2 linked regions of the Oryctolagus cuniculus genome follow. The protein of the gene in region 2 binds, or shares a complex with, the protein of the main gene of each other region. Links are inferred from orthologs where the notes say so. Each region holds a gene or a part of one and is shown on either strand. Other genes may lie near its edges.

Region 1 (6,601 bases), on a different chromosome or scaffold from region 2:
GTTCATGGTGGCTTTACCTGCTATGCCACAGCTTGGGCCACAGGAATGAAGATTCTGATACAAAGGTGTTCCACAGAAAGATTAAAACAACTCAATTGCCTAATAAAAGGGGAATTATTTAAATAAACGGTAGGCGCATGGCACAGCTATTAAGATGCCCCTTGGGACGCTGAATGCCGTATCATACAGCCTGAGCTTCAGTCCCAACTCTGCTTCCGATGCAGCTTTCTGCTAATGTGCACCCCAGGAGGCTCAGATTGGGCTCCGACTCCCGACTGGCCTGACTTAGCCCTGGCTGTTGCAGGTATTTAGGGAAGAATCAGCAGGTGGAGGATCTCTCTCTGCCTTTCAAGTAAAATCAAAATAAATGAACAAAGTAAAATTTTAAAAAGGTACATGTGTACAATGGACTAGTAAGCCGCAATTAAAAATATTAGAGATTCAGTATGATTTTTCAATCTTGCCTGAAACATGTTCACTGTGTGTATTAAGAAATATGGAGGCCAGCGCCGCGGCTCACTAGGCTAATCCTCCGCCTTGCGGCACCGGCACACCGGGGTCTAGTCCCGGTCAGGGCGCCGGATTCTGTCCCGGTTGCCCCTCTTCCAGGCCAGCTGTCTGCTGTGGCCCGGGAGTGCAGTGGAGGATGGCCCAAGTGCTTGGGCCCTGCACCCCATGGGAGACCAGGAGAAGCACCTGGCTCCTGCATTCGGATCAGCGCGATGCGCCTGCCACAGAGCGCCGGCCGCGGCGGCCATTGGAGGGTGAACCAACGGCAAAGGAAGACCTTTCTCTCTGTCTCTCTCTCTCTCACTGTCCACTCTGCCTGTCAAAAATAAATAAATAAATAAATAAATAAATAAATAAAATAAAAAAGAAATATGGAGAGGGGCTGGCACTGTGGTGCAGTGGGTTAAAGCCCAGGTCTGAAGCGCCATATGGGCGCCGGTTCGAGACCCGGCTGCTCCACTTCCGATGTGGCTCTCTGCTGTGGCCCGGGAAAGCAGTGGAAGGTGGTCCAAGTCCTTGGGCCCCTGCACCTGCATGGGGACCTGGAAGAAGCTCCTGGCTTTGGATCAGCCCAGCTCTGGCCATTGCGGCCAATTGGGAGAGAACCATCGGGTGGAAAACCTCTCTCTCTCTCTCCATCTTCTCTCTGTAACTCTTTCAAATAAATAAATCTTAAAAAAAAAAAAAAAAGAAATATGATGGAATGAATACTGATTATGGCCCAATAATGGTATGGTTTCTTTTTTTTTCCTTCTTTATATAGCTTCAGCTTCGGAAATTTCTAGAAGGCCCTTATGTCATCGCCTAAGTGACAGTGACCATACACACAGGACAATAAAGAGGTGGGGGAACAACCCACGCCCTTCGGACGGCCGGGCCGGGAGTCGGTGACGTCAGCGCGGTTCCTGGAACCCCCGCCTCCCCTCCCAGTCCAAACCCGGCCGCGCCCAGCCCGCGGGAAAGATGGCGGCCGCCCCGCCCCCGCGGCCGGAGCCGAGCGCTCCCGAGCGCTCCCGAGCGTTCCCGAGCGCTCCCGAAGCCCCGAGGAACCCCGGGAGCCGCTCGGGCGGGAGCGGCCCCTCCCGGAGCCTGGGAGCGGCGGCGCCGGCGCGGGGGAGGGGCGGCCGGATGTGAGTGGAGCGGCCATTTCCTGTTTCTCTGCAGTTTTCCTCCGTTTTGGGTGGTGGCTGCTGCCGGGCTTGTGCCTCCAGTCCGCGGAGGGCGAGGCGGCGTGGACAGTGGCTCCGGCATCCCGCGCCCCGCCGCCCGTCGCCGCGCGCTCGCCCGCCCGTCGCCGCGCGCCCGTCCGCCCGCCGCTTCCCGCCTCAGCGCCCGGCCGCCGCCGCCGCCGCGGCCCAGCGAGCGGCCCAGATGCAGGCCATCAAGTGTGTGGTGGTGGGAGACGGGTGAGTGCGCGGCCGGGGGCTCTGGGGGGCCGGCGGGGGCTCGCCGAGGGTCGCGTGGGCGCCGCGCGGCCTCTGCGCGGGGCTCGGGCGGGCGCCCCTCACCCGCCGTCGTCCCGGGCCGGGTTGCGGCGTCCTGGTGGGGGGAGGGCCCTGCCGCTGGCCGGCCGCGGGCAAGAGTGGACTCCGCCCTCTCGCCGCCTTCCCGGGCCCGCGGGGCGGCCGGACGCCGCCCGCCACCCTGCCCGGCTTGGCACGGCTCTCGGGCGCCTGTGCAAATCATTTTATTTTATTTTATTTTATTTTGGCGAGAAGGGGCCGTTCCCTGGCATTTACCCTAAACCTCCTGGTCGCCCCCCACCCCCACCCCTCCAGCCCGGGGAGCCGGGGCGGGCGGCGGAGGTCCAGTGGTCTGAGTGACCGGAAGCCCAGCGTGCGGCCGCGTCGCTGCCACTTGTAACTTGGCCACTTGTGGGGTTCTTCGACATGGTCGGTGGCGCCCTTGGCGTGGACAAAGTTTGGAAGATGCTGTCAGGGGCCAGGTGTGACGGAAGCTGACCTCCTGCAATGTGGTCGTTATTTAAAAAAATAAATAAAAATAAAAATTAAAAAACCGAGGCCTTGGCTGAGCGCGGCAGGGATGGATGGAGTTCTTTCCAGGACCGCCCGTGGGGGTTACAGGCCCCAGAGGAGGACAAGACCGGTCTTATGCAGTTGTGTGTGTGTGTGTGTGTGTGTGTGTTTTTCCCTCCCTTATAAACAAGAATCCCAGTGTGATCCGAGCAAAATCGCGCGTCTCAGCATTGCTTGTGTAGCTTAGTGTGGGACAGGGACTCTCGAAGAATTACTACCAGTTTCACCCAGCTCTGAATGCAACTGGTCCAAGTCCAGAGTCGGAGGAAGAGTGCGCTGGACACCTCTGGTTCATATCCCAAAAGTGGCCTTCCGACTTTTATCTTTTTTTTTTTTTTTTTTTTTATGCCTCTTAGTGAATGTGTGATCTCTTAGCTTAGAGAACTGATGGGAGACGTTTGAGATTGTTTGTGCATTTCGGATGCAAGGAGGACAGTTAGGACACTGGTTTTTCTGGGGAGATGCATGTCTGTTGGATTCGTGTCACACGTGGGAAAGGTGAACCCTGTATAGTTCTACGTATTCAAATAAAAATTGTTAAATTTCATTTATTTAGGAATGTGTATGCTATGTTACCTTTTTAAAAGAAAACCTTACTTTGGCACTTGGGGAAAAGCGTTCGTGAAGTGGGATTGAAAATGAAGTCAGCGGATTATTTTAAGTGAATTCTTCCATGCTTTTGTGTCAGGCATCAGCAAAACGTCACTTTTTCTTAGGAACGTTTAAAATGACCTGGATTTCCCTTAAAAGTTATAAATGCTCCATCGATTATGCTTAGGATATGCTTAGCTCTCTTTCTAAGTGAAGTTGTGGTAATTCAGAACCGAGGGATGGAATGTAGTATTCTGACTTGAAGGTTTCTAAAGCAGGGACCCAGGGTGTTTGACACGAAGAGCTCCCAGCCCTCTCCTGCTGGTACTGCTGTTCCTTCCAGTGAATACTTGTTGAATGCCTGCTGTGTGTGTCTGTCCTGCCCACATCTCACCACTTAGTTGGGAGGTGTCTGAGAGCACATCACTCCTCCCCTCCCCCAGAGAGGTTCCTCCTTGGGAAGTTCAGTGAAATCATGCAGGGGGCTGGCTGGCAAGCCCCTCCCAGGGGCCAGGCCTCTACTGATTGCCTGGAAGTGACCAGGACCAGCACTGTGTGAGGCTCTGTGAGGGAGTATGAGTATTCAAAACACTGTTCCCGCCCTGGAATTTCCCGTCTGCTTTCTAATTTAATTTTTAAAATTTACTTGAGAGAGAAGAAGCTCCTACCCACCAGCTCACCCCCAACATACCTGTAACCAGCATCTGAGAACCCATTCTAGGTCTTGCTCATGGACAGGAGGGACCCAACTACATGAGCCGTCACCACCACTCCCGGGGTTCACACTAGCAGGAAGCTGGAATTGGGGCCTGCAGCAAGGAATCGAAGCCCGGCACCGCGCTGTGGGGTGCCAGTGTCGCAAAGGCTTGTCCCCACGGTATTTTAATGAGGGTTTGACATTTATGTTGACTCTTGACTGTCTTAAGTAGTATTGGAGTAAAGTGAACTTTTGCCAAAAAAAAAAAGTTACACTGTTACTCTCAGGGGTCATACGTAGCAAACATTTCTTCAGTAAAAATCCAAATCCCAAATTTTCCGTACCAAGAATATATTTCTGCTTTCGACTGGTAAGCTATATTCCTGATGATACTGCTGGAATGTTGTTTTATCAGATTGTTAAAGCTGTAAATATGGCCCCGAGTTTCAGTTAAAGGTGTTTAAACAGTGAAGGCAAAAGGTGGAGATACCACAAATTGGAAGCAAGCTGAGTTTTAACCATTTTATAACTGGGATCAGCTGGCTATTTTTTTTTAATTTAATTTTATTTATTTGAAAGAGTTCCAGAAAGAGGTAGACAGAGAGAGAGAGGTCTTCCATCCTCTGGTTCACTTCCCAAATGGCCACAACAGCTGGAGCCAGGAGTTTCTTCCAGGACTCCCACGTGGATGCAGGGGCCCAAGCACTTGGGCCATCTGCTGCTGCTCTCCCAGGTGCATCAGCAGGGAGCTGGATCAGAAGTGGAGCAGCTGGGACTCAGTCAAACAGTCAGCATCCCAATATGGGACTCCAGTGTGCAGGCCGGGGCTGTAACCCACTGTGCCACAGCGCCGGGCCCACCTGTGTTCTAGTGGACTACTCCCGATATAGCAGTATAATTGGCAATGGGTATAAAATGAGTATCAGTAATGACTTTGAGTAGCGTCTGGCTTAGGTTGACTTGAAGGCTGGGAGTGAAAGCCTTGAAGGCCCTCATTTTGCTTATCCCAGGGGTGTTCAGATTGGCCTGTGGCCCTCTCGGTCCCAGGTCCACTCAGACGTTGCTGCCCTTGAGTTATTTTTAGTTGTGTGTGGTGAGTGCCTTCCTTGATGCCACTCTCACAGGAAGCTACAGTATTTACCTCCATTGAACGGTGGTGACGTGGTCCATGAGTTTGCATAAGCTCATCGTGAATTCTTTGTGTTCCTCTTGAGGCATGGGGCTTCAGATTGTAGTTTTGGCTTGTGATAAAGGTATTTGCATTCTGCCCCGGCTTCCAAGTTTAGGTTGGGCTCATGACTCTGATCTTGGTTGCTAAAAGTATACATATACCTCCCCCCGGCCAAATGATAGGGGTTCAGAAGCTTGGATTTGAGTTAAGTGGAGCAGGAAACCGTTTGTAGAAGCCTTAAATCCATCTTTATGAAGATTGTGGTTTTGTTTTTTGTTGGCACTAGTCATCTGATGGCTTTGTGCTTTCTGCTTTTTCACTTCTAGATTATAATTGTAGGCTTCCTGGGAAGGAGATGTTTTATCAGGAAGCACCCTACCAAGGCGGTTCCATCTTGTCAGAAGGAGTATTTTTCTTCCAGCATCTCTCTCTCTCTCTTTTTTTTTTTTTTTTTTTTTTTTTTTGACAGGCAGAGTGGACAGTGAGAGAGACAGACAGAAAGGTCTTCCTTTGCCGTTGGTTCATCCTCCAATGGCCGCCGTGCTGCGGCTGGCGCACCGCGCTGATCCGATGGCAGGAGCCAGGTGCTTCTCCTGGTCTCCCACGGGGTGCAGGGCCCAAGCACTTGGGCCATCCTCCACTGCACTCGCTGGCCACAGGGGCAACCAGGACAGAATCTGGCGCCTCGACCGGGACTAGAACCCGGTGTGCCGGCTCCACAAGGCGGAGGATTAGCCTAGTGAGCCGCGGTGCCGGCCCCCAGTATCTCTTAATATGAGACATTCAGTTTCAGTATTGGTGAGAATCGTACGGTCAGCACCCATATACCCACCTCCACGGTTCTGTGATCTGCATTTTGGTCTGTTTGCTTCATAACATGTCTCCCATTATCAGAGGATTTAATTGAACTGCTGATTTTGATGGAGAATGGGGTGGTTTGCAGTTAGATACATGTGTTGTTTTGTGTTTCTTTTTTTTTAAACTTTTTGAAAGGTGGAGAGGCACCCATTTGCTGGTTCACTCCCCTGGCACCTACAGCGGCTGCACTGGGATCCAGAAACTCAGTCCAGGTCTTTGAGTTGGGTAGCAAGAACCCAGATACCTGACCTATCACTGTGGCATCCCAGGGTCTGAAGTAGCAGCCAGCTAGAGCCAGGAACCAGAGCCAGTACTCAGAGGTGGGGCACTCCCACCCCAAATTCTTGTTTTTGAGCCTTGTACCTGCAGCTGACCTTCAGCGCCACCCACACTGGGGTAAGACTTGAACGTTGAGAAAGGGTGGTCTAGGATAAAGCCTGCTTCAGACTCCAGCTCTGTTACAGGTAGCACCTTCAGCTGTGAGTGTTAGAGAAACTGCCGAATCTTAAATTTTTGAAGTCTCTGATGGTGATAATAGTTATACATTGGCTGTGATGTCCTTTGTTAGTCACACATCAGAATTTCATTTCGTGTTTTTGTATTACTATTCTTTTAATTTGATGTGCTTTTTTGAACGTATATTATAAGTGTGCTTCAGTGATCAGTCCTTTTTTTTTTTTTTAAAGATATATTTATTGTATTCGAAAGACAGAGAGAGAGAATCTTCCATCCTCTGGT
Region 2 (5,906 bases):
ACCCTCCACTGCCTTCCCAGGCCCCAGCAGAGAGCTGGCCTGGAAGAAGGGCAGCCGGGACTCGAGCTGGTGTTCACACGGGACGCTTCAGCTTAGCCCGCTTGGCGACGCCACTTGCCCTGGCCCTTGTATGTTACATGCATGTGAAACGAACGTATCAGGCACACACAGGAACAGGCGTGGGCGCACTGGTCCCGGCGTTGCTGCCGGGGGTCCCAGGCTGGCTCCCCCTGTGCCCTGCCGCCGTGAGGACAGCCGGGCCTCCGGTCATCGTCCCCAGGCCACCAGAGGCGGGGCCTGCACAGGACCCTGCCTTTCTCCAGGGGACCCCCAGAGGTCAAAGGGCAAGCTGCTCGGGGGGGGGGGGGCACCTGTGTGGGCTGGGGCCGGCCAAGGTGTTCATGCGCCCCTCTTGTTCTGTTTTCCCGCCTGTCCCATTCAGGTCAGAGACAAAAGGAAGAGCCCCAGGTAATGCGTCCAGGGTCCCAGGGTCAGAGGCCCGGGGGCAGGGGGCCAGGGGCAGGGGCCGGCCCTGCGCCGGGAAGCCACTTCCTCCCAGGCCTCCCCCCCCCGGAGCTGTGGTGGTCTGCAGTGTGGACATCCCTTCTAATGGATCAGGCGTCCTGCGCCCCTCCCCCCAGGAAGCCACGCGTGGCGTCCCCGTGCCCTACACGCTCAAGGTGCACTACAAGTTCACGGTGCTCCTGGACACTCAGCCCCAGCTCCCCTACAGCCAGCTCCGGGACGCCGTGGCCAGGAAACTGGAGCTGGCGCCGGAACACACGAAGCTGAGGTGCGGCTGGGGGGGGGGACACGGAGGCGGCGTGCAGACATGTGGGGGCGGCATGGGCGATGCAAGGGTGCTGGGGGCCTGGGGGACACGGGGCACAGGCTCCTCTCACCCGGGGCCCACTCTGTCCCCGCAGCTACCGGCCTCGGGCCGGCCCCGAGCTGGCGCCCCTGTCGGAGGCCAGCATGGCAGACGCCTGGAGCCACGTGGACGGCAGCTGCCTGACCCTGTGGTGTGAGAACTCAGTGGTGAGTGCCGTGTGGCCACCGCCTGTCACCCGCAGGCGCCCCACAGCCACCCTTCACTGGAAGCCTGCAGGGGCCGTCCCCGTGAGGGTGACCTCCGGGGGTGAGGCTGTGCTCGGTGCGCCCGTGTGCCCTCTCAGGGTCCCGGCGACGCCGTAGCTGGGTGCTGCCACCCAGACACACGGCAGAGGCCAAGCAGCTTGACCTTCTCCCAAGGTCACAGCGCTGGCAGCAGCCTGGCCCGGCCACGCCCACGGCCACAGCCACCCCAGGCCCTGCAGCCGCCCAGAGAACGGGAGTGAGGAGCGGGCGGGGTGGAAGGTCTCCCTAGAGGGAGCACTCGCCGCCACGCTGACACCGCCACAAGGGGGCGCCCTCAGAGGCCACGGGGTGGACGCCCTCTCCTTCCTGGTCCCTGCTCCCGCGATTGTGCAGGAAGCCTGGCACCCCAACACCCGACGAGTGCCAGAGGTGTTGGTACAGGAACAGAAGCCCCGCCTTCTCGCGGCCCTGGGGGGATGGTGTGGCGCCAGGCCGACCACGGACAGGGCCACCGTCATGGCGCCGCAAGTGTGCATTTCTAACGGGCGCTAGCGTGGTGCTGGGGAGAGGGTGTCGGGTTCAGTGCTCAGCAGCTTGGGGCTCTGTGGCTGACTCCGCCTGTTTGCTCGGGACCACAAGGCTTCCGTGGATTTCAAGGTGACCAGGCAGGTCCACGGCAGGCACTGGCCACGCCCGGGCTCCGCGAGCTCGCGTCCCAGGAGCTGCTGGGACATCCCGGCCCCGCCCTCCAGCGGTGCTCAGTGTTCACGGCCCAGCAAGGAGACCAGGTTCTGTGCTGACTTCAGGGTGACCAAGGCTTTCCAGAGGAGCCCGACGAGAGCGAGCTCTCCAAGGCTGACGACCGGACCACGGGGCCGAAGATCCGGGAAGGCAGCCACGTGGTGGCTCGCTTCCGTTACGAGGCCAGCCAGCCGGAGGACCTGGAGCTGCGGGAAGGGGACGTCGTCCTGGTGCTGTCAGAGGGTAAGCGGCGGGGCCGCGGCTGCCGGTTCCGCCCGCTCCCCAGCTCCTGGGTGGGCAGAGGGGGTCGCGGCCGCCGGTTCCGCCCGCTCCCCAGCTCCTGGGTGGGCAGAGGGGGTCGCGGCCGCCGGTTCCGCCCGCTCCCCAGCTCCTGGGTGGGCAGCAGAGCGCACTGGGCTCTCATTCCTAGCAGGCAGGGCCCCCCGCGGCCAGTTCTCGCACCGCACTGCACGCTCTGCTCAGCTGCGCCCCTTTCTGTCGGGAACCAGCACGGTAGAAACCCTGGGGGAGCCCCAACGCCAGGGCCTCTCCAGCCTTGGGAGCGTAAGCGCACAGCCCGCACCGCCCCCGGGGACCCTGCTGTCTGCGGTGCTGCTGACTGCTCTAACTCCCGGTGTCAGTCCTAGCCACCTCCACCTGGCTCACTTCCCGGCCAGGCTGAAACCAGGAGCCAGGAGCTTCACCCACCTGTCCCATCTTCTGGTGAGGCCAAGCAGCCAGGACGTGAGCTGCTCCGCCACGACACCGGCCCTGTGGTCTCTGCCTTGCACGGGGCTGCAGCACCGTGTGTTGGCAGTACAAAGTAGGGACACACTGTGATTATCAGATTGAGAAGTGAGCAGGTTGTGAACTTAACGGGGTGGAGAGTATGCAAGTGTGTGGCTCAGAACACAAGCCGCTGACAGAGGCGGTGCAGGTGCGGTGTGGTGTCTTCCCGCACGAGGGACAGGGAGACAGGGAGACGCGGGCTAAACTGCACGGAGCAGTGAGCCGTGCAGTGTGCGTGTAGGGACAGTGGGAACAGAAACGCTCCCCAGGGCATGGACGAGAGCCCCGAGCAGGCGCACCCCTGTGGAGCAGGTGGGGCTGTGGCTCAGCCCAGCCGCCATGCTGGACAGCCAGGGGATGGCTTCTCAGACTGTCAAGGGCACGTCAGTCGCCAGGCGTCGTCTTGAAATGGACTCGGGCTCGAACCTGCCTGAAACACGCCAGGTGCCAGGACAGAGGTTTCCAGGCCCTGGCCGCACAGCGAGCAGCAGACGGGGGCCGGCGACTGGTCAGCCAGGGACCCCGCCAGCAGCGGCCCTGAGGCGACATCCCTGCGCGCATGGTGTGGTGCTGGGTTCGGGGGCTGCCCCACCAAGTGGCTGCTGTGTCCTGGCAGCGTGGGACACCACCCGCACCCGTTACGGAGTCAGCGTGTGCGCGTCTTCCAGTGTGGTCTGCAGGGCACTGCAGTCATTTTTAGGAACAGTACCCGTGGCTCCAACTCGGCCTCCATGCCAGGCCCTGCTCTATCGGCCACGCCCCGCTCTGCTGGCAAAGCTGCCGAGAGTCTCAGGAAACCCTAGTCACTGCTCATCCCTCCCCTGGCTTCTCGGAACTCGCTCCCGGGCAGGGTCCCTGTCGCTTCCCGAGACCACAGGCTCCGGGTCACGGCGGCGCGCTCTCCCCTCACAGTGAACGAAGAATGGCTGGAAGGCGAGTGCAGGGGGCAGGCGGGCATCTTCCCCAGAGCCTTCGTGGAAGAACACGCACCCGCACAGCTGCAGGGCACGCCCAGCGCCGGCGCAGGCCAGGGAGCCCTGTCGGCCTCCGAGACACCGCCCTCCTCCCTGATGTGAGCACGTGCAGGGGCACGGGGAGGGCGGGGCCCCTGCGGGCACGGGCGGGCGCCAGGGTTCCCGTGAGCATCTGCTGAGCTGTAGGTGCACACACGGCGCTCCTCTCCGCACGTCCTAATCTCACAAAAGCCCCACAAACCACACAGCAGGAGCCCAGGCCCACGGGCTCGGCGTGCGCGCTCCTGCTGCGTGACTCTGCAGGCGCCCCCAGGCAGCCCGGCAGCCACACTCGCAGAGGCCGGCCGGGCGGGCTCCCGTGGGATGCACGCTGACGGGCGCCGTCTTGGGGAGGGGAGAGCTATTCCCCAGCCTCCCCTACACCGTCCCAGCACATGGGACAGCCGGGCTGAGTGGGCCCCACAGGCTAAGCGAGAGCCCCCCTGAGCCGCCTATCAGTGTGACGGCAACGGGCGACTCTCAGCGCCCCGGCCCTGGCCACTCTGCGTGGACGCCCGCCGGTGCGCCCCTGCGGCCGCCGGTCTGCGCCAGGGCTCCCTGCAGCGCCCTCAGGCCCTACCCTCGCGGCTCCCGCTCCCCGTCCTCGGGCCGGCAAACAAATGGCGTCACACAGGGCTGGCTGGAGAGAACAGGTTTAATTAAAGGCAAAGCTGATTCCAGCAGCTGCAGGTCTTGCACAGACAGACGAGAAAAAAAACCAACAAACCCAAAAACCCCCAAACCAACCAACCCCCCCACCCAGTTTCCCACACAAGCCGGCTTCCGAGGCCGACTGCTCCCCCCTCACTCCACAGCGAAGGCAAAGCCGTGCGCCCCGAGTTGGCACAGGGGGCCGGGGGGGGGAGCTCGGTGCCAGCTCCTGCACCAGCGTGCCGCAGCCACCTGCCACACAGCGCGTGCACGCCGGGCAGGGCCGGGCAGGAGGCTGGGAGAAGCACAAAGGGGCGCAGGGTGCCACTGGGTGGGGGCTTCACCCTTTCAGGCCTTGCCAAAAAAACAAAAACAAAACAAAACCCCAAACACCACGGCAAACGGAAGCAGTAATAGAAGCGTCCGGGACTCCAACCCCCTGAGAGACGAGCGTGCCCTCCCCCCGCACGGCCAGGGCCCCCAGCTGCGCCCTCGCACACGGGGCCCCGTCACCAGCACAGCAGTGGACATTTCCATCGTTTCCCTAATTCCCCTCGGACCCCTCAGGAAGGACGGGCGCCGCCTGCGCAAGCGCACTGGGTCCTCGCGCCTAATAAATAGCAAAGTCAAAGTCCATCTCCCGCTGTCCCCGTTCCGCTTGCTCTGCGCCGCCGGGCGCGTGTCCGTGCCGCCTCCGAGACCACGCTCAGGCGGGCGCCCTCGTCTTCGGCCGCCTCCGGGCCCCGCGCCGGAGCCCACGCTGCTGTCGCTCGGCCAGTCGTCGCGCACGTTGGGAACAGAGACAGTTAGTAGCACACAGCACAGGGCAGGGAGGGGCAACCGGGCAGTCGGGGCACAGAAATCATCCAACCAAACGACAGCCATGCTGAACGCCTCTCCCCGCCCGGAGCGGACTGGCGGCCTCCCGTGGGCCCGTATGCTGCCCGCCGTGGGTGCAGCCGGGAAGACGTCGGCTGCCAGTCCGGCCCAGCACCACCGCCCCTGCGCGTCCTCGCCGGGGTCACGCCCCCACGTTCTGCTGGGGCCCCGGGCCAGTGCAGGGCCGGCCGGGCCACCCGAGGCCTCGCGCTGTCCCTTGCGGACACTGCCACTGGCTGAAGAGGCCGGGCTCACCCTGTCGCCACCCGCCTCCCACAGGGCAGTGAGGGACGGGGCTCCTTGTCACCCGCTGACCCGCAGCACGTCAGTGTGGCGTCACTGCCGAGAGCAGCGACAGCAGCCAGGATGGCTGGGAGCGATGTCCACTACTCTGTCAGCAAAGCAACCGTGAGTGGACTCCCGCTTTATTCCCCAAGAGGAGAAAGCACTGAGAAGTTCCCGCGGCTTCTCCCATCTGCCCTTGCTTCTCAGCTTCCACTTCCCACGTGGCTGGGGACGTGCGTGACGGAGGTGAGCGGCGGTGCCATCCGAGACCGAGCGGGACCAACGGGGCCCCGGGGACGGAGAGTTCCCGGTGGGTTTTCTTTCCGTTGCACTGCGGACATTCCGTGCACACTCAGCGGGCTGGTGGGACACTTACACCCTCGACAGCAAGGAACGGCAGAGGGCTGCCACCGCCGGGCTGAGCGCCAGGCCTGCGAGCCCGGCAGGCCGGCTTCGCGGAGCCTCCATGCG

Evidence for each region. The genes of interacting proteins can lie anywhere in the genome.
Region 1: NCF2 (region 2) and RAC1 share a complex: the UniProt entries of both Homo sapiens proteins name them as parts of the phagocyte NADPH oxidase complex. The link is inferred for Oryctolagus cuniculus from reciprocal best matches to the Homo sapiens genes NCF2 and RAC1.

What each region holds. Positions count from the first base shown.
Region 1 is NC_091450.1:40,073,925-40,080,525, reverse strand, and holds the start of RAC1 (ras-related C3 botulinum toxin substrate 1), read left to right. Parts: upstream 1-1,738; 5' UTR 1,739-1,881; coding exon 1,882-1,916; intron 1,917-6,601. UniProt on the Homo sapiens protein: Plasma membrane-associated small GTPase which cycles between active GTP-bound and inactive GDP-bound states.
Region 2 is NC_091444.1:1,484,841-1,490,746, reverse strand, and holds the end of NCF2 (neutrophil cytosol factor 2), read left to right. Parts: intron 1-442; coding exon 443-468; intron 469-641; coding exon 642-793; intron 794-926; coding exon 927-1,038; intron 1,039-1,883; coding exon 1,884-2,061; intron 2,062-3,519; coding exon 3,520-3,683; 3' UTR 3,684-3,784; downstream 3,785-5,906. UniProt on the Homo sapiens protein: Subunit of the phagocyte NADPH oxidase complex that mediates the transfer of electrons from cytosolic NADPH to O2 to produce the superoxide anion (O2(-)).